3 linked regions of the Caenorhabditis elegans genome follow. The protein of the gene in region 2 interacts with the protein of the main gene of each other region in a pairwise test. Each region holds a gene or a part of one and is shown on either strand. Other genes may lie near its edges.

Region 1 (8,065 bases), on a different chromosome or scaffold from region 2:
TCATTCTCGAGCTACAGGCGTTTCAAGAGAAATAGCCAAAAATGGACTCGCGAGGTGTCTCCCGCTGTATCTCTTGACCTGAATTTTTTGAAATGTTGGATCATGTGTTAACATGAAGACAAGATTCTAAGCAACAGTTTATCAGTTAAACTTTTCTCTCCAAAGTGCTTAGTTTGTGAGTTATACTCATTTGAAAATTATGAAGAATTAGCAAAAAACCAAAAACGCATATACTTTTGGCAACCACTGTACATATATTGATTGAGTTGTGGATATTTCAGTTAGTATATATTGTATTTCCTATAATAGTCTTGCATATCATCAATGTTGGCAGCTTATACTATCTTTGGATTTATCAAAAGTTTGTTAACTGACAAAATATGTTGAAAAAATTTTATGCTCGTAGTTTTTTCTAGCTTACATCATTACTACTATGGCTGAGTATTATGACCGACCGCAATTTAAAACAAAATGACTACAGGGTTTGTAAATAAAATGACTACAGGGTTTGTAAAAAAATGACTACAGGGTTTGTAAAAAAGCGTACCACCACTTAAATTATTCAAAAAACTGTCCAAATAACCTCAAAACCTTAATTAAAATGTTTCTTCTAAAGAAAAACGGAAACAATGTCGAATGAAATGAAAGAGGGTAACAAAAATATGTGACAACCGGGTGTCTTCTTGCTCCACGCCAAGAGCTTCTCACCGAGAAACAAGAAGAACTGAGAAATGAGAAATGATTGATCATGGTTTCCTCGTGTCACTTTTTTTTTATTTTTCAGTGGCCCTTGGTTAAACCTATGAGAAACTACTTACAAATCTAAAATACTTGATTAACCAGTAATTAAACAAATGCCAAAGAAACCGAACAATTAGCACCATGTCGGTGTAAATATTTAAGTTAGAAGGTAGGATTTTCGCACTTAATCAAAAACATGTGACCTTATTTTCAGAAATTCCAAAACAATCGAAAATATATCTGAAATAATGAATACATTAAATCGGTCTTCTGCTTGCTTGTGATATACTTTCAATTTTGGTTATTTCGTAAAAATACTTAAATTATCAAACATCTATTATCAGAAATGGGTTATATAGACATCAATATATATGAAAAATCTTAAACGCGGGGGTATAGTGCTTAAAAAATCGTTTAACAAAAACATTTTAATTAATTTTAATGTACAAGTGTTAAGAAAAATCCCAAATGTGAAACTGGCCGCGAAATTTTCAAAAATCTTGAAAAAAGAAAACTATATTCCTTGAAGTGGTGGCTTCCGTAAACTAACGATGATAATGATGGGAGAAGATATCGATGCGAACGAGCGTAAAAAAAATGCGGGCGGCTCGTAAATCAGATCTCAGTCGATTAATCTTCTTTACCCACATCCCGAAGATTTTTTCAAACTCACTTGTTGTGGAAGCTGGTGATGCTGTTCTTGAGGAATTCGGACCCAAGAATATCACAGTTTCAGCTGCACTTAGCTCTGATCCGGATTCTAATTCAAATCTTCGTTGTGTTCTAGGAGTGCCTCCCGGTGTGATTGTAGTTGTTCCACATGATGAAGAATTTGATTCCATTGTTCCAGTTGACATTGTCTGAAATTAGAATTTCAATTTTTTTAAATAAAAAAAAATATCTGAATGTTAAAAATGAAGAAAAAATGCGGAAGAAGTGCCGGTTGTTTTTTCTTTGTAAATATACAATATACAAGAATTCATACAAAGAGGATCAAATTTCGATTATGGTATTATGTTTGCGGCAGCGATATTAATATTTAGGTTATGCTAGAGGTGGACCGGATTTTACCGTAAAGTGAGACCGAGGAAAAAGGTCAAAGAATGATAAAAAGTAGCCTACAAAATCGTAGTTTTCTATTAAAAAAATATCTTTGCACAGTACTTCCCCAAATTCAACCAGATCAAATACTGAGCGCTAGGAATTTTTTGAGAGTGCCGTGAGAGAAAATAAAATGTAGGAATATTGTAAGAATATTTAACTAGTAGTAGGAATATTTTCTTCAAAATACGAAAGAATACAATGTTCCAAAAACTTGTATACTTTTGAAATTTGCAGTGAAATTTTCGGTAAGTTGGCAAACAGTTGTCAAATGTCAAGCTTTTGGATAAATTCTCAGAATTGTTGTATTTTTGAAATATTGCCATTCTTAAATTTAAAATAGTTTTCAAAAACCTTTATTATGCGAGCAGTAATAAATTATCTGAACTGATGTTTTCAAACTCACCCCTGATGACTTCCTTCCATGTCCAACCATACTCTTTGCTCGAGTCCTTGCGATTTTACAAGCCAAATGTGCAATGTTCTCGTTATCGTCACTCTTGGCACCAAATGAAAAAACGAACGTCGTGAATCTTGACGTACTCAATGCACATCGGATGAGTTGACACACTGACGAGTCCCTGTAAAAAAGGAAAAATTTCATTTTAACATCTTCTACTTTGACACATTCTAACACTTGTCAAACTTTCAATTCCCTAAGAACCACTGCTCTATTTCTGCAGAAGCGGCAGCAATTTGTTATTTATTCTCTCGGTACGAAGAATTCAAAAAGAAGGAAAAGGAGGATAGTCAAAAGAAAAATAAAATTCATTTCGTTCCCAAGGGAGCATGCCCAAGCAACTTTTGAAGGCGGTGACCGGAAACGCAAGATTCACCGACAAAAGCATATGGATTGATTAATTGGTCATTTCTTATGCAAAAAGTTGGACAAATTTTGAATATTTAAACTTTTCGAGTTGAAATATTACAACTACTTGCAATAAAACAATTGAGATGTTTTTTTTTTTCATTGTCCACCTTCCTGTTCTCATTACTCTTACAATCCCCCGATTTTTATATTCATCATTCCCCTTCCCCTGCTTTCTCTTTTTTTCATTGAAAATGTCATCACTTCACCGCCTCTTCCTGTCTCTACCAAAAACATCAGGAGGTACCATCTCTCAACAGTGAAATAAAAAAAGACACCAATTCATCTAATCCCTCGTGTGGCTCGTGGGCGGCTCTTCTCTTTGATGTGTCCTGAAGGATCCATGTTGGAAGAGCGCGGCGCCCCTCTCCTACACACCTCCTACTTCTTCCGCGCGCGCAAATAACGATCCATCGACAACTGGTTCAATAAAAAGTGGTAATAAATAAATGGGTGACTAGACAATCTTCTCTTAATCTTTCCGCCGGTAAATGAAGGTTGATTGAGATGAAGTAGAGGGCATAATGAACAAAATTGGGGGAGGACCGCAGAATATGTGTGAAACTCTGATGGATCTTCCTTATACTAGAAGCTAGTAAAAATTGACTACTTGAGTGCCTACAAGGCAGACGTGACGCCAAATTAGAACGCTCCATTTAAATATGGGGATGAAACAGTGACTGGTGATTAACTTCTAGGATTTTTAAATCAATTGTTTCTCACATTGCTCTAAACTTTTCTCGAAAAATTAAAATTCACCAAAACTGTGTTTTTTGGTAATAAATAATAAAAGTGAGTAGATTGTAACAAAATTCTCACGAGTCCTCCTACTTTAATTGAATATTCAGGGTTTTATGAACGCTGTATTTCCAGATTTCTCCAGGTACACTTTTGATTTGCAGACCAATTTTTTAAAAAAATATTTCTTCAAAATACTCACCTTGATGGAATATGTTTATTTCTTTGAACCATTGCCAAAAGAATACTCCCTAATGCTGGCATTGTCATTCCTCCATTTGTTGAATTTCTCTCACCAATTCCCATATCCAAGAAACAAAGTCGACGACGTCCTCCTTGCATTTTGTCACCCATTTTATACGAATACAAGCTTAGTGATATGAACACGTGGCTTGTTCGATGGGTATGCTCGTCTTCTGAAACTTGTGTATAAGACATTTAGATCATGTTTCAACTCACGAATCATTCGATGATCCACTGCAGTATTCAAATAAAATAATGCCTGATCAATGGTCTCGACACGAATTTCACTCTCATTATCGATAAATACTCCTGTTCGAGCATCATCCACTATTTTAACCACTCGGTGACGTGGATCTGGATTGAATGGACTTAACAAATCGACTATTGAAGATTCATTTTGTGACACCATAATTGCAGACATTCGAACTTGTATTCGTTCTTCCGAATCTCTGGAAATAGGAAATTTAATGGAAATATAGAACATTGAAACCTACTTGTTATCATCAAGGGCATTCATTAATTGAGTGATGGCCATTTGAACCAACCCGTTTCTTGAAACGCTGTTCCCGTAGAGACGTTCGTCTTTTCCTGAACATTTCTAGTATTCGATGAGTTTCAAAAACATTCTTAATGTAATCGTAAATAGTATCTCCATTAGAAATGGAGGAAAAATTGAAAATTGTATAAGTTCTTCAAATTTGAAAACGTTACTCTCCAAAATAATTACTCACCATTAGTTTTAGCTCCCATTGCTAAAACTGTTGCATCATTTCCAGCGAATACTGAATTTATTGTATCCGATAGAAATGCCGTATACATATCATCCTGTGTAGCATCTGTTCTAAAGATATGATCAAATGTCGTTTTCGAATAGTTCTTTCCTTCGATTTGCAAGTGTTGATCAGTGAGACTGCACCGACCATGTGCAACATCTTCACTGCTTATACTGGCACATAGTCGAAGCTGAAAAATGTGTTAATCTCAATCTGTGAATACTAGAAATGTTTGCCAAAAAATTAGCAAACAAATAATTCAACAAAAAGCTTACTTTCGGAATCGTTCGCAACGGCGAATGAAGAAGCAGCGAGGTCTTACTGCTGCATGCCTCCATTCATAAGGTCTGAAAATATTCATTCTAATCCGCAATTCGGGAAGGAACGGGCAACGGAAATCAAAGAAAAAACCAAAGAAAAAGCAAAAAGAATGTCGCGGGAAAAATTTGCGAGGGAGGAAAGGGTCAGTCCTGATAAAAGACGGACAAACCGTTATCATCAAAGTGTGTATGTGTGTGCCCATATAAGCGTGTCTGCATAAATAATCAAAAGAGGTAGATGAGTCTTTTCATGTTACCGACGAACACCTATTGAGTAAAATGAGGTGGAATGTGGGAAAACGGAAAGTGTTGCTGGCACGGAGCCAACTTTTTGAAAATTGTGAAACAGACCACAACTGATTACACAAAAAATTATGATAAAGCTCTATAAATCTTCTCTTTTCTGCTTAAACTGTAGTACAACGCTCCAAATAATTACTCAATAAGATGAGATATACAAGTGAAAGAAAAATTGAAAGAAGTAGTAAATTTACTCTTTCGCGAAGAATTTTCAGCTCGTTGAAATGTTACTTCGTATGTGCAATTGACATTCTTTAAAACCACCGGAAACCAAAAAAAACATAAAAATTCTACGAAACAGTCTGACAATAGAGTAAATGATATCATCAGTTTTCCACCAAAAAGTACCAAAAAGGGAACATTTGAAAAGAAGACCATTTCCCGCCAAAAAGTGAGTCAACACTGCATCGGAAAATGGAGAACTCTCTGACGCCCTGGCGATGGGGATGAACGATACGTACAAACCCATTCATTGTGGGAACTTTTTTTTTTGAATTAAAGCAAATGGGTAGAGTGAATATTATAAGGTCTTGCCTTTTGGATATTTAAATATAGTTTTGGTTTTATGTCCCTGGACGGGGTCAAGTTCCAAAAGTCATTAAAGTACCACGTGAACAAACCGCCTGGTATTTATAAAAGAATTATTGTCGATCTGTGAATTGCACATTTCCCAATTCAAAAGTCTAGACAGTTTAGGTAAACATTTTTGGTATCGAAAAACAGAAATGTATAACATGAAAAATTCTATCAAAAACTGTCAACTAAAAAAGACTAAAACTAATAATCATAATTTTTTTTTCAAAAATATCAGTAATTTTCTGAAAAGAAAGCAAATCGAAATTGAAAGTGAGAAGAAAGAATAGTGGTAATTTGACCTCCCCTAGGAATGAATTGAGTTGAGAAGAAAAGTAGTGAAAAGATTTTTGAGACGAGTGATGGGCGTGAAACAGGGGAAAGAATAGAAAAATAGTGCAACACATTTTTTTGAAACAAAATTTAATAAAAGAGTAAAACACAGAAACTACAGTTGGATGTATCAGGTGAGGAACGGGTATCATAGAAAAATAGTGATTACTGTAAGTATACTCCAGGAGATACTAATTTTTAGATTATTCATTGCGAAAATTGATATTTTCAAACAAATAAACAACTATGAAATTTTATCTATCATGTCAGGCAAAAAAACCGTTAAAACAAATGACCAGAAACTAGGAAAACAAGAGCTCTTATAGATGAAAAAATCATTTTGCATTATTTCTCGTGGTTCGGGAAACTAAACAGGTATACATTTTTTAAAAATTAAATCTAATGGAAACATAAGAAAATACAAAATTCAGTCATCTGGAGAATCCAAAGGAAGTGATCACATCTGTTGAGCACATTTCCTTCTTTTTTCAAACATCCGGTCACTGGTAGAATCTTTGAAACTTTTTGGAGTTTTAAGGTCAAAGTTTGAGATTATAACTTACAAGACTGTAGGTACAAGCCACATATCAAGAGTGACACAACAAAAACAACAACAACACTAAAAATAAGAAAACCGAAAAAAGTGGGCGGAGTCTCCGTTCATCTTTACGCAACACATGAAAGAAAAGAAAATAGAAAAGATGAGTAAAATGTATAGAAAGAGTTGGTTTCCTTTTCTTCTTTCTATCCACATCTTCTTTAGAAGGGTGGAGTCTTGAAGAAAGAGAGATAGACACATATGTCTTTTGGCCCAATTCCAATGGTCCCTTAATGCAATAGAGTGAGAAACGGGACGTGGGACGTGTCCACGGGACAACTGAGAGGACAACTATGGCGCAATCAGCTGCCCCGGGAAAGGAGGAATTGTACAAATGTTTGAGTAAAGAACGAGTGGACACAAAATGGGTGGGAGGAGGAAGAAGGAGGGCGAAGACTTGATTAGGGAAATGAGCAAAAAGGATTGGAAGGTCCAAATACTATAGTGCTTCCTAATTGTAAAGGGTAACTCTATGAGCAATTATGTTCCTCTAAAAATATAGGTTATAGAAATACAAAACACCTGCGGAAACAAAATTATAGATTCAGACAATTGTCGTATTGCTCTAAAACATTCAAAATGTACGGTCATAATGAGGCATCTAAAAAATTCATGAGGTTCAACAATTTTGAAGGAAAACTAAAACTTCTGTTCAATTACTACACTTCATTCAAATTTTGATAATTTTTTACTTTAGGTTTTTTTTCCAAAAATTTGAATTTAAAAAAAAAGATTCCATTATGAAAGTTGCCCTTTTAGAGCAATTTCGAAAGTTTTCGCAATACCAGTTTCAAAACGGTCTAAAACATCGCAGAGTGCTCTAATAATAGAGAGTGAACATCGAAGTAATATTTGAAAACATCTAATCTCTTGTTCGGACTTCCTCTTCGGTTTGAATGTAGTAATTTGACACTGAGCCATCTAATCCTGCATCCTCCCGTGGCCACCCTCCTCTCGTCGTCAAAAATCACTATATTTCATGACATATGTGCCAATTGACTGTCACGCAGTCTACGAGAAGAGTTCGAGAAATCGAGAGACATAGAAATTAAGAGGGCGCATTAATGTGCCAAGTAATTTCGAGATTCTGAGCAGCATAAGGATCCAGCAGTTAAGATTCTTATCAAATGATTCGATTGTAGTCAGAAAATTTTTATGGGTAGTAACAAATTAGATAACGAATTAGACAATTAGAGCTTGCAAATCTTGGATCTAAAAATGATGAATTTTATGTCAATTCAGAGAAGAAAAGGCGAATAGTCTATAATCAAACAGAAACAATAATGTTAGTTTTGGGTTTCAATGCATGATTGTGGCTAATAAGGAAAAGATGGAAACCACCATGATGATGATGATCCATGTGGTGGTTAATCACATTTCTCAATAGTGAACTCTAAATTTGGAACTCAAGAATTCAAAACGAACCAACGCAGTGAGGCAACAAAATTGAGTTATAGTGTGAGGAGCTCGTCCATTG
Region 2 (7,906 bases):
CGCGCAGATAAATTACCTATTTTTAAAATTTTTGATTTTTCATGTTGATTGGCTTTTCTTCAAATTTTTTTGAAATCTTGAAAAAATCATAAAAATTTTCGAAAAATTATGTAATTTTTACTCCATCTTCAATGATTAATACTGAAAGTAGTTATTCAAAAATCAGGAAAATCATATTTGGGGTACTGTAGGTGGCAGTTTTCCAATGGCGACAAAATATACATTTTTGATTGCTTTTTTTCAGCTAAAATTTTTTTTTTTCAAGATTTATTTTTAATATTAGTTTTAATTTTGTTTTAACTTTTAAATTTTACACAGAAAAAAAACTTACTTGAGCAACCTGAGCGAATCGGTCAAATTTGAAATATATGGGGTTGTCGCTTCAAGGTCCGGGTTTTTGACACCCTTCGACGGTTTTAATATTCGAGTTGCAATCTGCAAAGTTAACATGACTAAAAGAAAATTAAGGAATTTTCACCTGCGGTCAGGTATTAAACATTCATAGAATTTTTAAATTATTTTCAAATTTTTGAATATAATTAAAAAGAAAACAAAAACTCACTTTATTCCCTTCTGTCTCAATTCCTTCCACCGGAACATTAAATATACTATTCTTTGCGTGTTGGCTCTTTTTCAGCGCAGCGTTGGCAGTTGTCACATCGACAGGCTGCTCGCCTTCGCAAATTTCTCGACGTACAGACTCGAGCTTTTCCATAATTTCAGTGATATTCCAGATCCATTTCTCGAGATCCAACCTGAGCTCAAGCCATTCATCATGATCATATGGATAGCTTCCGCCGACGGTTTTCGGTAAATGTGACGAGTCGATTATTTTGATAAGCGATTCGAATGAGATCATTTCAACTTCAAAATCCCACGTTCCAAGGGACATTTGTGCTTTTTGTTTCTCCCAGAATTTTTCGGGCTTGATGATGAACACTTGTACTGTTGATGAGCTTTCAATACTCTGAAAATTAACATTTGATATAGTTGGAAAGTTGTTTTAAAAATTGTGCTCCTAGTGTTAAACTTTCCAAAAATCAGGAAAAATTTTCAAACAAATTTACAGTAAAAAAGCTATGAAAATTCAATTTTCACATACAATATTTTTGGAAGTCGACAGAAAAAAAATTTCTATGGTTGAAAAAAATTATATTTGTGTTCCAAAATATTTTTAAAATTTGGCAACGTACACAAACCGTGACTAAAAATTTTGAAAATTTTGAATAATTTTAGAGGGTTTTAGTCTAAGTTTTTAAAGGATATTCCGCTATTTTTGGCTGTTATAAGTGTATATAGTTTTTTGTTGTTTTTGTAGGAATCCATATTTTTTAAACGAAAAAAAAACCATACACTGAGAGCTTTCAGAATGTGTCGAACATTGGTCCATGTTTGTTTTCCACGCATATCAATTACCACAAGGAATCCCTTTTCGCGTGCCATCTTCCTGCAAATTCAATTTTTTGTTTGGTTTTTTTGAAATTTGTGTTTTGTGGGCTTAGGCTAGGCTTATTGTTAAGTAATTGAATTGAAAAATGGAAATAAATTTTTTGAAATATCTTTTTATAAATTTTGTTTTTTCACAGTGTGGTTGTTCCATTTCAGTCAAATAAAAAACTTACGAAGTAACTTCAAATAAATACAGAAAGACATTGCGTAAATTATCCTGATTGACAGGTTGCTCTCGTGATGGACATACGATAACTGCTTGTCCGGCTCTACATCGTCCTCCAGGAAGTACTGCAATGCCGTCACGAAGAACATGCAGAATGTCTTCTGCTTTCATCGTCATCTGGAATTTTTTCGAATTGTTTAAAATCAAAAGTTTTCATAGAGTTTTTGAGATTATTTTTGAAAGTTCAAAATGTCCGGGAACATGAAACCAAAATCTTAGAAAACCAAAAAAAGCTCGCAGTGGCTCCAAAAAATATCAGTGTTTGTCGTAAAAGAAGGACCATTCGAAATTCAATTCACCACCAGAGGAAACGGGTGAGATAGAGGGAGAGAGCGTTGAGACGCAGGCAACACAACACCGAAGAGTGGAATAGGGGGGGAGTCGAGTGGAACGAAAAGGGGCTGGTCACATTGCACTGCAGTTTATCACCAAGTTCAATCTGCTAATCGACTTTTTCGTGTATTGGGACGGACGGACGGAATGGTTAGTGCGCTGTTCGCGGCCCCCGGCAATGGAAAATGACTGTTGATTTGGAGGAAAAGCAGAGAGTCAGAGATAACAGTTCTGCGATCACTAACTCGATTTTTAGGGCTAGCTTCTTGTCTAATTTTGGACCAAAAATTGGGCAAAACTTATACTTGGTTAGGGTGCGCCCAACTTTTCTTGTGTGGTTTTAAACTTGGGTTAGAGTTTGTCAAAAGTTGGATCAAGTTTGGGCTGGATTTGGGCGCAGTCTAAATCAATCTAAGCTTTGCCAACTTCTGGGCAAGAAGCGGGCACCAAATTTTGAAATTTTCGAATTCTAAATGGTGAAGTCGCAGGGGGCGAATTTTCGCTGAACTTGCACTAAAACTTGGAATAAAAAAGAAAATGTCAAACGGAAATCTAGGTTTTATAAAATTTTTTTATTTTTTGTATTTTTTCATTTTTGTATGGCCAATACTGAAAGAAAAATTTGAAATCATTCACTGTACATTACTTTTTTTAAATTTTATGAAACTGTAAAATAGAGATAACAAACTAGAATCATTGATTTTAAATTAAAATAATCAGTACAATGTACTCAAAAACTACCTATAAAAGTTTGGCTCTTTTTGTTTATTTTGTGAAAAAATTGGGCAGAAAAATTTGTATTTGAAAGAAAAAAGACTGAGAGAACTTTTTGTAAAAGCTCAACCAGAGTATTTTGAAGTTGACTAGTTTACTTGCAAGGCAAACCAACACGAAAAAAAACGAAAAAGGAAGAAAGAAAACCCGGCACACAAGAGATTTTCTTTCATTTTTTCTTTCTTTTTCCTCCAATTTTTTGCACTACAACAATTCTCAATGTCTTCCCCGATTGCCATAAACTGCCGTCATTACACACACACACTATTCGGATTTTTTTGTTGGTATTCGTTCTCTCTCACATTTTCCTCGCTTCTCGAGGTCATAATCCTGTCTCGAACAACAACATACTAGTAGTAAGATTGGTGCTAATCGAGAAGGCACTCTTTGAGAGTACCATCTGTTTCAAGGATTGAGGGAAGAGCTTGATAAGCTCCCACTATTTCGTTTCTTTTCTCACACAACTTTACACAACCGGTCACTATTATCGTGCTATCTGCGTCTCTCCATCTCATGATCTATCCGGAAATAATGGGTGAGAAGAAGCAGGAGCACCGGGAGAGCACCGAATTTCGGAATGAGTGACACAAAACAATTGACTCATAACATATTTCAAAAACGTGATGAACTCATTTTACACTTTTCAACAATTGTCTGGGAAGGTTTGTAATCGTAATACATCAATTATTATGATTTATTTTTCTTTAGTTTGGACCTAATCAAGATTTATAGTCGTGAAAAAGAGTAGAGATCTCGGAAATTTTTTTTTTCAATTTTGGCAAAACTTTAAAGTTATATTAAATTTTTTAGTTGCTGTTTTGGTGTTAATTTTTTCTACTACTCATAGGCGAAATTTAACGATTTTTGTATCAAAATACGGTACCCGGTCTTGACACGATAAAATTTTATTTGAAGAATACTGTAATCTCTAGCATTTGGTTTTTGCGGAATTTTCATCAATTTTCATTGTTATTTATAAAAAAATTTTTCATCGGAACAATTTTACAACAAAAAAACTGTTAAACACATAAATTTAAACAAATATAGAGAAAAAAATCAATAATCAACTAAACTACAGTAATCTTTAAAGGCTCATCAAAAATTTGTAGTATCGAGACCGAATACCGTATTTTTATTGCAAATATCGCAAAACTTTGCGTCTGGGCAATATTAACAAAACAAAATTAAATTATTTGAAATTTAAAAATTTGATGAAAAAGACATTTCTCGGAACATTCGAAAAACAAAAACGTATTCTTTTCTCTATCAAATCGTACAGTTTGCACTCGTTTTCCGCATTAATCGCTTCAATGGATTACGGCGCCGGCATCTCTGCCTCTTTTTTCACAAGTTGCCGCTGCCGCCACCATGAAACTGAAAAAACTCACTTTTCCATCATAATCGCCCATAACTGATGGAGGAATTTTATGCGAATTTGACGACTCTTCTTGAATTCAAAATAATCATGTGCTTCTGAATGTCTGTGTGTGTATTGTGACGATCAGATGAGAACCCGTTTATCTGAAAAAATGACAGTTTTCAAAGAATTTTAAATTTCTTTCAAAAAAAGAGATTTGAGAAAATAAAATAGAGTGCGTATTGAAAAGAGAGAAAAAGTTGATTTTCGATTTAAATTTTCTGATGAAATATTGCTCGAAAATCATGGAAAATCACACTAAATAAGATTTTAAAAATCAAAGAAAAAATCGAGACAAAATTATTAATTATTATGGAAAAAACAAAATTTTCCAGAACATTTAAAAATAAGTGCATTACAATTTTAGAAGCTTTTCATATAGCTTAACATCTTCTTGGAACAAGTTTGGTATACAAAATATTTCAAACAATCCGGAAAAAAATGGCTTAAATCGGAAATTGGCAACATGTGGCTTGAGCTAATTTAATTCTATTTGACCCTAGTCTAAACAATCTCTTGCCAAATTTTGGTCAAAATGGTCTTGCCAATTTTTAAAACTAAATTTTAAAGTTTGTTTTAAAATGACTGACTCATTGATATTTTTGAAGAAATTCTATACTCAAGCAGCTAAAAATAGGATGGAAAAGGTCGAAACATTGCGAAACGTTATTAGATCTTCTCACTAGAATACGTACTTTTTCAGGAAGTATGCATTATTCAAATGTCTTCACTGCATAAAATAAAATAAGCAAATAAAGATGTGATGAATCTAGTCTCAATTATTAGTTGCACAACGCATTACAAATCGTTGGGTGTGAAAATGCGAAAATCGTGGAAAAGGAAGAAGAAAAGGAAGAGCTACCAAAACGAACTATTTCTCTCAAGAGGGCCCAACCATTGGGGTGGGCACCGCTCCGGGAATAGCGTACGAAAGCGGGAGACAAGCGAATTGTTATGGGAGGCTAACGGCCGTTGTAGCAGACCGCTGGTCATATGAGACAGTGCTAGTGTCCTGTAGAGACGCAGACGTAAAAAGAGAACGCAAGGGTCACTGCGCGCGCAGACGGATGTTGATGGACCGGACAGACCGCCGGGGACACAACAGGCAAAATAAGAAAGAAGACATGAAGAAGACGACGACGTGAGATGGCGGTAATGGTGGCAGGTGCAAACGATGCAGGCGACAGATGACAAGAAGTATGTTAGCAACACTTCAAATATAGATAATTCTGTTTAAATCCTTTCTTCTCCAAAATTGAATTTTTCAATTGAACTCAATAGATGCTGTTGTGAGCTCTAGAAGTTGTTGAGATGTCTTTATAATCTAATCTCTCAAATTCTTTGAAACTACTTGTATCTGAACTAGAGCATTTTAGTTCAACAGGCAAAACAGATCAAAATTTAATGCAAAAATATATAACAAATAATTTATTAATCAGAAAATAATTTTCATTTAAGTTTGAAAATGTGAAAATATGATTAAAAATTGCATGAAAGTTGCCAATTGCTGGAAAAAAGTGTCAATAATTTGTCTGATTTATTCCAGCAATTTTCACCTTTCAGACAACTTTTAAGGATTTTTTTTCAACTAAAAAATTATTTTCAGATCAATCAATCCTATATTTTGACACTAAATTTTAATGAAAAATATCAGACCAACATGCCACATCAGGCCATTTTGTAGAATTGTCGAAAAAATTTAACGTACACCTCTGATCTGAACAATCAGTTTTTAGTGTCGGTGGAACACCGTAAAACAAAATCCTAGGAAATTTTAAATGAACTAAATTGAACTAAATGACCAAAAATTGAACTAAATGACCGCTATCGCCCTAATATCAAAAATAATATCAATTCCACTCAATCCTACAGTAACAAGTCAACATCAGAGATATTCTCGAGACACATGGTGAAGATTGGATTTCCCAGAGGATTATACCACCACATGTCTCTTCAGCCAAACAGTATACGATGACCGTTCAAGCGGAAATCATAAAACAAAAGGGATCGACACTTGACAGTTACTATCATTGGAATATTATTACCCCCGTTCAGTGAAGTTGTCACGTGGTGCATTGTGGTACTAATTTTTAAAGGTAGTAACCGACAATTTTTTGATGTTTTTTGATATTAAAAATGACGCAAAGATAACGAGTTTCATAACTACATAGATTTTTCAATAATGCTTACAAATGTTTTATGGCGGCTCAAAGTTAAGGATATTATTAGTGAGAGAAAATTTATGTAGAAACAATGTGCAAAAGGAAAACCAAGAAATCGTGATAATTTAACAAAAAGCTCAAAAATGGTCAGAGTCTATTTTCAGATCATCCTGACTTTCTTATGAAAAAAGGATGCGACAGTAAAAATTTGAATTCAAAACGGCGGCATCAATCGTTGCAACAAGGCAAAAACAGTCAAAATATAAGATTTACATCGATTGGTATTCAGAGCGGTCCCGTGGTCACCTCTTCAATTGTTTTACTGTGACTAGGATTGTATTCGCGCGCTATCGCTAACTTCCCAGAAGGCGTGCCTCCTGGGTAGTTAGCGACCCCATGAGGGTCACATAGTTGCCACTGTTTTTAATTCCAATTTCAGATGTCTAACCGTACCTTAAACATTGTTTTTTAAAAAAACTATTTGAAAACTGCTTTTTTATTCATTCTTTTTTCCTTCACTTCACTGCTTTTTGTAATTGTATCATTATGATTGTTGCTTGATGAATAAATATAAATAAATAAAACTGCTAATCAGAAAAAAAAATCTGAAAATATGGATATCACGACTATTTGAAAATGATAGTCGTTATGGGAAGAACATGTTAATCAAAAAAATGTCAAAAACCATATCGGTGTCTGAAATTTTAACAACAAAAATTTCTGAGCTCCCACAACAATCGACTTTCACGAAAGATAATTTCCATCAGAACTATTTTTACAAATTATCTCATAGCATATACAGGGTGGCAACTAATTATGGAACCTGCATTAATTGCCATACAACACTTTTGAGAAAAAATAATGCAACAAACATTTAAAAAATGACAATACATTATTTCTCAGCATAAAGTAAAAAACGATTTTGATACTTGTGTATTTATTATAACTCCACATATTTTTGATTAAGAAAATCAATTTTAAGATGTTTACCATTCAAATAATTTTCAATCCACATTCTGAAAATATAAATTCTGGTTTTTTTTCGGCTTGACTCACATACTCATGCGATGAACGAAATTCAAATGTGATTTTTATGTAAACCCATCCTTGGGTGCAATATATGGTTTCTGAAATTTTCGGCAATTGCTGAAATTATTTCTTAATTATTTCGGGAGTTTTAAAATTGAACCTTGACATAGTTCGTCATTTTGAACGAAGATACTGCCAAATAATACACGCTCAAAAATATTTCGAAAATTTAAAAGTTTAAAATTTCTGTAATTAGCAATTTCAGCAATCTCTGGTAAAAATAATTTTTGAAATATGCAATTGCTGCTCATTCCTTCGTTGAACACTGCATTTCTGCATTTCTTATGACATGATTATAAAATGGTATTGAAATAAATAAATAAATAAGTGTCCCTGTATAACAAACAAAACTCAAAGATCAACATCCCGAAGAGCCTTCCAGAACAGTTTTTGCTACCCAATTGAAGTACTTTTTCGAACAAGTTCGCCTAAAACACCGCAGCTGTCAAAAACAAG
Region 3 (7,957 bases), on a different chromosome or scaffold from region 2:
AAGCAACGCGGCGCACTCTAAATAGAAACAATGGGGGAAAAGTCGGGGGCCAAAATGGCTGCGCGGATGGGTTTGGAAACAAGTTATGCTAATCAACTGAGGGCAAGATTTATTTTCTTTTTCTTATTTGCTCTTTTTTTTTTGGACACGGCCTTTGGTTTCAAATGTTGCCTGAAATATGAAATAAATACTTTCACTAACCTTTAGTTGTAACTTTCAAAGCTGCCTTGCTCAACGAGCTTCCTGCCGAGTTCATTCCAGCGCACACATAAGCTCCCTCATCAACTTGACGAACTTCCTCAATTGTCAATGTTCCAGTTGGTGAAACTTTCGTTCTACCATCAGCGGACACATAACTTGGGAAAAGAAGATCCTGTTGGCCTTCCTTGCTCCAAAAATAGGCGGGACTCGGTTGACCGACCAAGGTGCATTCAAAAGTTGCCGTGCCTCCAGCTGGAACTGACTGGTCTGCTGGTTTTGTCTGGAAGGATGGAGGTGCCTGGACACGAAGATGTGCAGATGCTTCAAGAGTTCCCGCTGGATTTCGTGCATAGCAAACGTATTCACCTTCGTCTGATGGTTGAACTCTGAAAAACGTGGGTATGAGAAATTGTATTTAAGATTCGCATTTCTTTTCAGAAATTTGAAAAGCTCAAATTATTTCAATTTTCATTAAATTCTATAAAATAATGTTCCCTTTGATTTTTCAGTTTTTTCTCGATTCGCAATTTACATTGAAATTTCATTTTGAAACTTTTTATTATTTTAAATTGAAACGTGACCATTTTGTGATTTTAAACTTAGTATTGTTTTTTATTTTCTAGTTTTTACAATTGAAGTAGTAATGAAATATATATGCGTATAAATACTAAACACTTCAGTGCTGAAACATTAACAACTTTTTGGGGGGACGAAATCTATTGGTACCTAATCATTTTTTTTGTATAATGCGACTGTTTTCCAATAAGTACAATAAGTATAGGCTTTGTAAATTTTGTAAATCCAATACTTTCCCATTTAGATGCCTAAACTTTTCAATAAAAAGGCTCGCAAACAGGTGTCCAACAACTATCATTCATCAATGTATTTCAGATCATAAAAAATATAACCTAGATCTCCGAAAACGGTTATTAGATTATGTCTCTTCGGTGTCTCTTAAGAGATAACTAAATCCTTTGCAAGATGAGATAACACCTCGACTTTCTCCCACTTTTATTACCTTTCGATTCTCAACCCCCGATTATCCTTGGCAATGTATGCACGTGTAACTGGCATCGGCTCATTTTTGCGTTTCCACGTAATTTGTGGTTGAGGATCTCCAGTCACACGACAATCAAACAGCACTGCGGCTCCGACGTCGACCGTCATGTCCTTGGGTTCTTGCTGAAATCAACATCAAATGAATAGTAATACTAATCATCGAATTAGTAAGATTGAGAATAGAATACAGGAAGTTACAAAACCCCCTGTCGACATTTTTTTTGTTAATCTACCAGTCATTTAGCATTTTCATCGGAACAATGAAATTGAAACGACCTTGAGTTACAATTTAAATTAATTTTAAAAGGACTATCGCTTCCACACGTACCTCAAACTTTGGTTTCTCAAAGACACTCAATCTTGCGGGATTGGACACCCGTTCTCCGACCATGTTGTTGGCAACACACTGATAAGTACCAGAATCGCTTCGATCGACCGGATCAATGATGAGGTTTCCGTCAGAGTGTAGAGTGTATCGTGGCATGTCTTGAATTCGGAGCTCTTTGTCGTCTTTCCGCCAGCTCACAACCGGCTCCGGGAATCCACGTGGCGGACTGCATTCCAGAACGGCCATCTCTCCACCAAGAGCCTGAAAACAATTGAGTAACGCTTCTGTGAATAATTATTTTTTAATGGTCTAAAAATCGCGTTGACAAATTGTGCAGTGCGGTTTACAGTTTTTGAAAAACTGACGAATGAAGTTTTTTGTAACATTGATGGTCCAAATCTTCGGTTTTTCGGGGTTACCAAAAATTTTCAACTGACAAAATAGTGATAATTTTTTTTTTCTGTAGTTTAACACTAAAAAATGAGGTGACATATTTGAACTGACTCAGAATATGCCGTTTTATTCTCTATTTGTGCGGCACCCCAACTGTTTAACTGACAGCATATGTCTCGAATGCTTTTGAAGATATTAAGAAGTTCAAAAACAATAAATTTACAGAGAAATTTAACAAAACTGTGCTCAGTTAAAATTTTTACAAAAAATCCAATTTGACCGAGATACGAACTGTCAGGGTTGAGCCATGGAAATGCCGCAGTAATAGAGATTATAAGGTAAACTGTCAAAGTAGAAAAGTGCAGGATTAAGTGAAAAAATACGTAATATTATTCAAAGTATTAAACTTTACCTGAACTGTTCTTGGCCGAACTCGAAAGTCTTCGCGAAGCATCGCCAATTTTAACGATCCTTCGTTCGACTTCACTTCTCCGTGCTCGTTGCTGGCCACACAATAGTACGCTCCCGCATCGCTGTCTTTTCCGTTTTTTCCACTATTCACTTTCAGAAGAAACAGGGATCCCGTGTCGAGAACAATCCGGTGGCTGTTCACTTGCTCCTTATTCGTGATTACGGGCTGTCCATCCTTGTACCATGTGATTTTGGCGGTAGATGGCTTTGCACCACAGTTGAGGGTTGCTGGCGATCCCCTAGATACCACCACATCGATGGGATGTTCGATTATCACGGGAGCGAGATTTGAGGCATCTGAAATTATATTCAAGATTTGAAAAGGTTCAAAACAACATCATTCCCCTGTTAGAATTTTTTTTACTTTCCTCATCTCCCATTCATCTTATTTCCACATACATCAACACTTTGATTTTATCCATCTTGACAATGTGAATAAGAAAGGAAACTTGTCCAAGTGCATTAAATCAATCTGACCGATCCGGCACGCGCAATACTGTCACATCTGTATTATGGTGTCGAAACGAACACCTTCCCTCACCGATTTTTCAGTAGAGATGTGCGACACTATTGTCCTTGACGGACGGTAGGTAATAAAATGATTCACTAGGAATTTTATCAAAATTTATGTATGTGTGTGTGTGTGTGTGAGTGTGGTAAAAACCTAGATAGTACATTAACGGCTGGTTTATTGGGTGTCGGTGGTCTATTACATAAGATTGCCATTGACCTCCGACGGATTACCCATCTTCTCCCATCTGCTTCAAAAAATATCAAAAAGCCATTTTGAATCACTTGTTTATGGCATTCACCCTGACACTGCTGCGCACACACTTAATAAAAATTTCAGCAGGCCGACTTGTTTTCCTCCACTTCAAAATACGGACCACTGTTGTTTTCCACTAGTAAATTACCAGACCAAAGTGTGGCTAACAAGCTGCCGGATTCAACAATTTAATTAGCCTGGCTGTCCTTCTGTCTCTTCTGTCACCTCTTTAACCTTTCAACAATCTAGCGTGCCAGTGTCAAAATGTGCGCACGCGAGTAAACTATCCATGAACCAATGTATTGTACTCTGGCTACAATTTAATGGCCGTGTTAACCTTCAAAATATTATACTACGCTGCCTGCCCGCCTTTTCATCCATAGGCAAGACAAAACCAAAGAGCTGTGAAGATGTACACATATCTCATCCTGTCAACACCCAATTTCACAATTCGCCCGTCATTCTTTCGCAACACATTGGTGTTGAAAGCTTCTGCTAAAAAGCAGGCTGTCTTTCTAAAACATGAGATGCAACTGAATATTTTGGACAGCGCCAACAGCTCATTAATAACCTACTAGTCTCTGGGGAGGGATTTCAAATAGCTTCTCATCTTCTATCAACCGCATGCTAATGATTCTCAATTTTACGGATATTCGCATGCATCTTAAAACTGTGCTAAAATGTTTAAATGACCCAGGTTGGGGCAATTTATCACATTGAATAATGACTTGCACATTGCACAAATTACATTGTGGAAATGTGGAAATGTGGAACAAGACAAATATCGAGAGTCTGCGGGTGGTCGCTCCCAACTGTTTCTTATATTTTCGTTGCAAATTACACTGGCTCTGGTCGCTGTACAAAAAGACTTATTGTTTTAAGAGATTAGCATTTGAATGGTGAATACTTGAGAACACGCGCCTCAATGAGACTAACTCCTCTCATTCATTTTCTATACCATTTATTCTCCCCCCGTCCTATTCACTATTGTTTTCTCAACATTACCATCCAAAAGCGGGGCTTGGCTCGGCCAAGAGGGCAGATGGCAGTCCAAAACGATAATCGAATCTTTTTACACTATAGTCGGCAAACGAGCTCACAATCCAAGCAGCGAACCCGCTTTTGGTGTTTGACAAAATGAAGAGTCATGTCTAATAGCGCAAGAGTAGAAAAAGCAGCGAGTAAAGAGCATTTTTCCAAGATGGAGGGCATTCGTTTCCGCGCATTCAGTCAATCTTCGTTTTAATCGCTTTCTTCGACATGGGAAATACAACCCAACCTAATGGATTTTCCAAGTTTCCAAGTGAATTCAAAGAAAACCCACGAGTGGATCGAATAGCGTGTCTTGTTGGCGACGCGTTTTTTTCACCATGTAACTTGACACTTTTGGTACATTCTTAACTTAACATTTTTTTTCTAGAAAAAAAAAACCAACCTTCGCAGAAGCTTCGGATTACTGCTTGCAATACCAGGAGGATAGTGCATAACAGCGTTTTTCGATTGAACATGATCTTGTTTTATTCAATCTGTGTCCAATTTCAAAGGCTGCATCTAATTGTGGCGGTGTTCTGAATTTCCAGTTGGGAGACACCTGCAAGAAAAACACAAAAGTAATCAAAGTTATTGGCGGTTGTTTTAAGAGTGGGCGACAAAATGACGGAAAGAGAATGAGGGAATATAAAAGGAGAAACAAGACAAAATAGGTGATGGGAAAAAGATGGAAAAGGGCGAAAAAAGCGTGGCCCTGGGTGTAATCATTCATCTTTGCTAGGGTGACACTCGGGAGAATAGATTTAGAAGGAAAAAAGGAAAAGACACAACAAAGTAATTGAAAAGTTGACGAGCGTCGTCGTCGTCGTTTTCAAGACGCGAAGACGATTTGTGCGTCCGTTTTTGCGCATTTTCGGTGGTGGTGGTGGTGGAGCGATTCGGACGGAAGCCGACCCTAAATTGGACTAGAGAGCCACATTCTAGAATGAAGAACAAATTTAGTCTTCTACGCGACGGAAGATGTTGGACAAAAAAAAATAAAGAAAAAATGCACGGGAGGCAAAAGTAGCCAGCAGGAAGACAAGCAACAAAAAAAATGAGGACGCAAAGTTAGGAGGCAAACGTAGTGAGACTGGTTAAAGATGACGCGCAGAAGGACGGATGAAGGATGGATATAGAAGATGAAAGAAAATGAACAAGTCGATTTTGAAAGGATTTTCTTAAATGCGGCGAGGCGTAATCAAAATTTGGTGTAGTGAAAAGGCAACTTGAAAAAGGAAACCTACTCTGACAAAAAATATAAAAAATCTTTAGTACTAAGTTCGTGGCAGATTGGGAAGTGTGCAGGAGTTGTTTCAAACTGCACAAGACTCCCGAAAAGCTATGCAAAATTTTATTTTACGCAGGAGTTGTGCAAGATTGTAGTAAGAATCCGTTGAAGTTTCAATCTAAGTAGAACTTCATCAAGTCTATATAGGCGTTTTACTTTACTTGGGAAATTTGATTTTTGCCAGAGTATCAATAAAATAACTATAGCTACAATTTGAACATGGAAATTAAAAACTTCAAACACAGCAAAATGGCCAAAATTAGGAAAATACCTTGAAATTAAAAGAAAAACGGATTTTCAACATCACCAAATGGTTCAAAATTTTTATACATACAAAAAGCTTTCATTGTTTCTCTAACAACCAAAAAGAAACAAATCACAATTTAGTACAAATGCATTTGCAGAACATTTAAAATGAGGACCGTTGAGACGAATTGCTAGAAGGCGTAGACGCAGAATGTTAGACATCAGATTTCCTCTTCAAGGTGTGTGTGCAATGCGCGGGGAGATAAACGCGCAAAGAGGAGTGAGACAAGTATCGATTTATGTTGTGCCAGCGATTGAATAATACTGATTAGATAAACTATCTGGCAACAGGCGGGCGAATAAGAAAAATCAATACGCTTTATTCTAGACAAGAAAGTACTCGAGAACATATCAAAGCTCTCAACTCAATAAGGTCGTCAGAAAGCTCATAATTGTCAGATAAATAACCTAAATAATGCGCGTCAAGAGCACGGCGATGACGGATGTCCATGTCATGCAAGCGGCTCGATACGGAACGAAACCGCATGGAATATGAGGGGATAGCCGGGGCTATACGTCGCCCCCTTCCCTGGTTAAGTAATTATTCCAATTCGTGGCCGCCCTCCTCTCACATTCGACTACCCGTTCATTAGGTCCATTGTAGACCGAACCTATGCCCATGGACCAACGAGGCAAACGATTGGGGGACGGGAGGACGACGAAGAAGAAGGAAAACCCGGCCCTGTCATACAACATCTGTCGTGTTGTGTCTATACGTTGTCAATGAGCAATAGTTACACTTGTAGTGGAACCGATAAAATTCGCAAGAATAGGTGGGGAGATTCGAAGAGCCTGTGATTTTTGCGGGGAAGCAGACGGTGGGGAAATGTGGAAAGTAAAAAAGTGAGAACCAGTGACAGGAATTGACCATAATTTCGCAAAGGTGTCGGCGGGGCGAGAAGCTGGACAATAAACTTTATGGCACTTTACAAAGTGCGTTTGTTCGTTGAAATGAGAAGATCACCTCTTTTTCCGAAAAGCAAAAAGTTCAGAAGAAAGATGGCACAATAACCAAAAAGAAAAAAAAAAGAAGCAAAAAATGCAAAGAAAAGTGTGATGGGATGGGAAAGTCTACCAGGGAGAATAGAATTGTGGTCCGCCGCAATTCGTCATGGGGTCCACTGGACACCTGCTCGACCGGACGACGGGTCGATGGCGTGAAAAACGTGGATTGGAATGGGGGACGTCAAAGAGGGGCACGAAAGTGTGCGCCAAATGATTTTTTCCCCCTCCCATCTTTTCTCAATTCCGCGCTCCTTTGCCCCGCCAAGAAGTGGGTCGCCGGCGGAGCAAGTGGTCAGTGGCAGACGACGGTGAGCAAAAGTGGGTTATGCAAATATTCCTGCTCTCTCGGTGATATTGAATCTCTCTTTTTAAATCCAAAGAAACATGAGGTGCGTGAGAAATTATGATATGGAAGTTTTTAATACATGCACGTATATTTTTCGGCAATTTCAAACTTTCAGACAATTTTTGAGCACTTTTTCAATTGTTTCAAATAGAGAACAAGTTATTTTCAGATAAAAAATTAATTTTCCATTTTTTGTAACTAAATTTTTATTTAAAAAAAAACTACTTCGGGGAACATGCCAGACTGGCTCATTTTGTAGAATTGCCAGCCTGCATTTGCCGCGCACCTTTGGCACAAATGTTAAAGTAGCGCGGTAGGGAGATTGGTGAAAACTACTCCTATGGTGCTAAAATAACTAAATATCTTTGTAAAATATTTCAAAAATTTTCAAAGGTTTTTGCTGACTGTCAAAAAGTGGCAAATACTGAGTTTTTGCATTTTTTAAAATGAAAAATTAGCACTGTCGCGTTTTCAAATCCCCACAGAGTTTTAATATTAAAATTTGAATTTTTTTTTTGATTGACAACGTCCAAAAAAGTAACAAAAACTGAATACACACGTTTGTAAAAATGAAAAAATTCAACAAAAAAAAGTTTTAAAAAGTTCAACTGTGTATGATATTTAGTCATGCGCCACTTTTAAACGATTTTATACCTTTCTAGAAGATACTAAGAAAAATGCTTTAAAAAACAAGACAGAACATTTTATTCACTAATACACTACATCTTGCGTATCAAAATGAACCAGAAAACAGAAACACAC

What was found. The genes of interacting proteins can lie anywhere in the genome.
Region 1: the proteins of unc-73 (region 2) and vab-8 interact in a two-hybrid assay, tested with the Caenorhabditis elegans proteins (one study listed by BioGRID).
Region 3: the proteins of unc-73 (region 2) and sax-3 interact in a two-hybrid assay, tested with the Caenorhabditis elegans proteins (one study listed by BioGRID).

Annotation. Positions count from the first base shown.
Region 1 is NC_003283.11:12,210,073-12,218,137, reverse strand, and holds the start of vab-8 (Kinesin-like protein vab-8), read right to left. Parts: upstream 4,812-8,065; 5' UTR 4,803-4,811; coding exon 4,740-4,802; intron 4,655-4,739; coding exon 4,423-4,654; intron 4,280-4,422; coding exon 4,186-4,279; intron 4,141-4,185; coding exon 3,908-4,140; intron 3,865-3,907; coding exon 3,651-3,864; intron 3,335-3,650; exon of another isoform or gene 3,222-3,334; intron 3,161-3,221; exon of another isoform or gene 3,017-3,160; intron 2,424-3,016; coding exon 2,249-2,423; intron 1,602-2,248; coding exon 1,415-1,601; intron 1-1,414.
Region 2 is NC_003279.8:4,027,437-4,035,342, forward strand, and holds the start of unc-73 (CRAL-TRIO domain-containing protein), read right to left. Parts: upstream 4,304-7,906; 5' UTR 4,192-4,303; coding exon 4,171-4,191; intron 1,793-4,170; coding exon 1,623-1,792; intron 1,448-1,622; coding exon 1,354-1,447; intron 968-1,353; coding exon 563-967; intron 436-562; coding exon 332-435; intron 1-331.
Region 3 is NC_003284.9:3,461,117-3,469,073, forward strand, and holds the start of sax-3 (Protein sax-3), read right to left. Parts: upstream 4,812-7,957; 5' UTR 4,770-4,811; coding exon of another isoform or gene 4,740-4,769; 5' UTR 4,727-4,739; coding exon 4,654-4,726; intron 2,750-4,653; coding exon 2,394-2,749; intron 1,850-2,393; coding exon 1,589-1,849; intron 1,384-1,588; coding exon 1,220-1,383; intron 588-1,219; coding exon 202-587; intron 1-201. UniProt on the Caenorhabditis elegans protein: Required to confine migrating sex myoblasts to the ventral muscle quadrants during their migration through the body and for multiple aspects of sensory, motor, and interneuron axon guidance.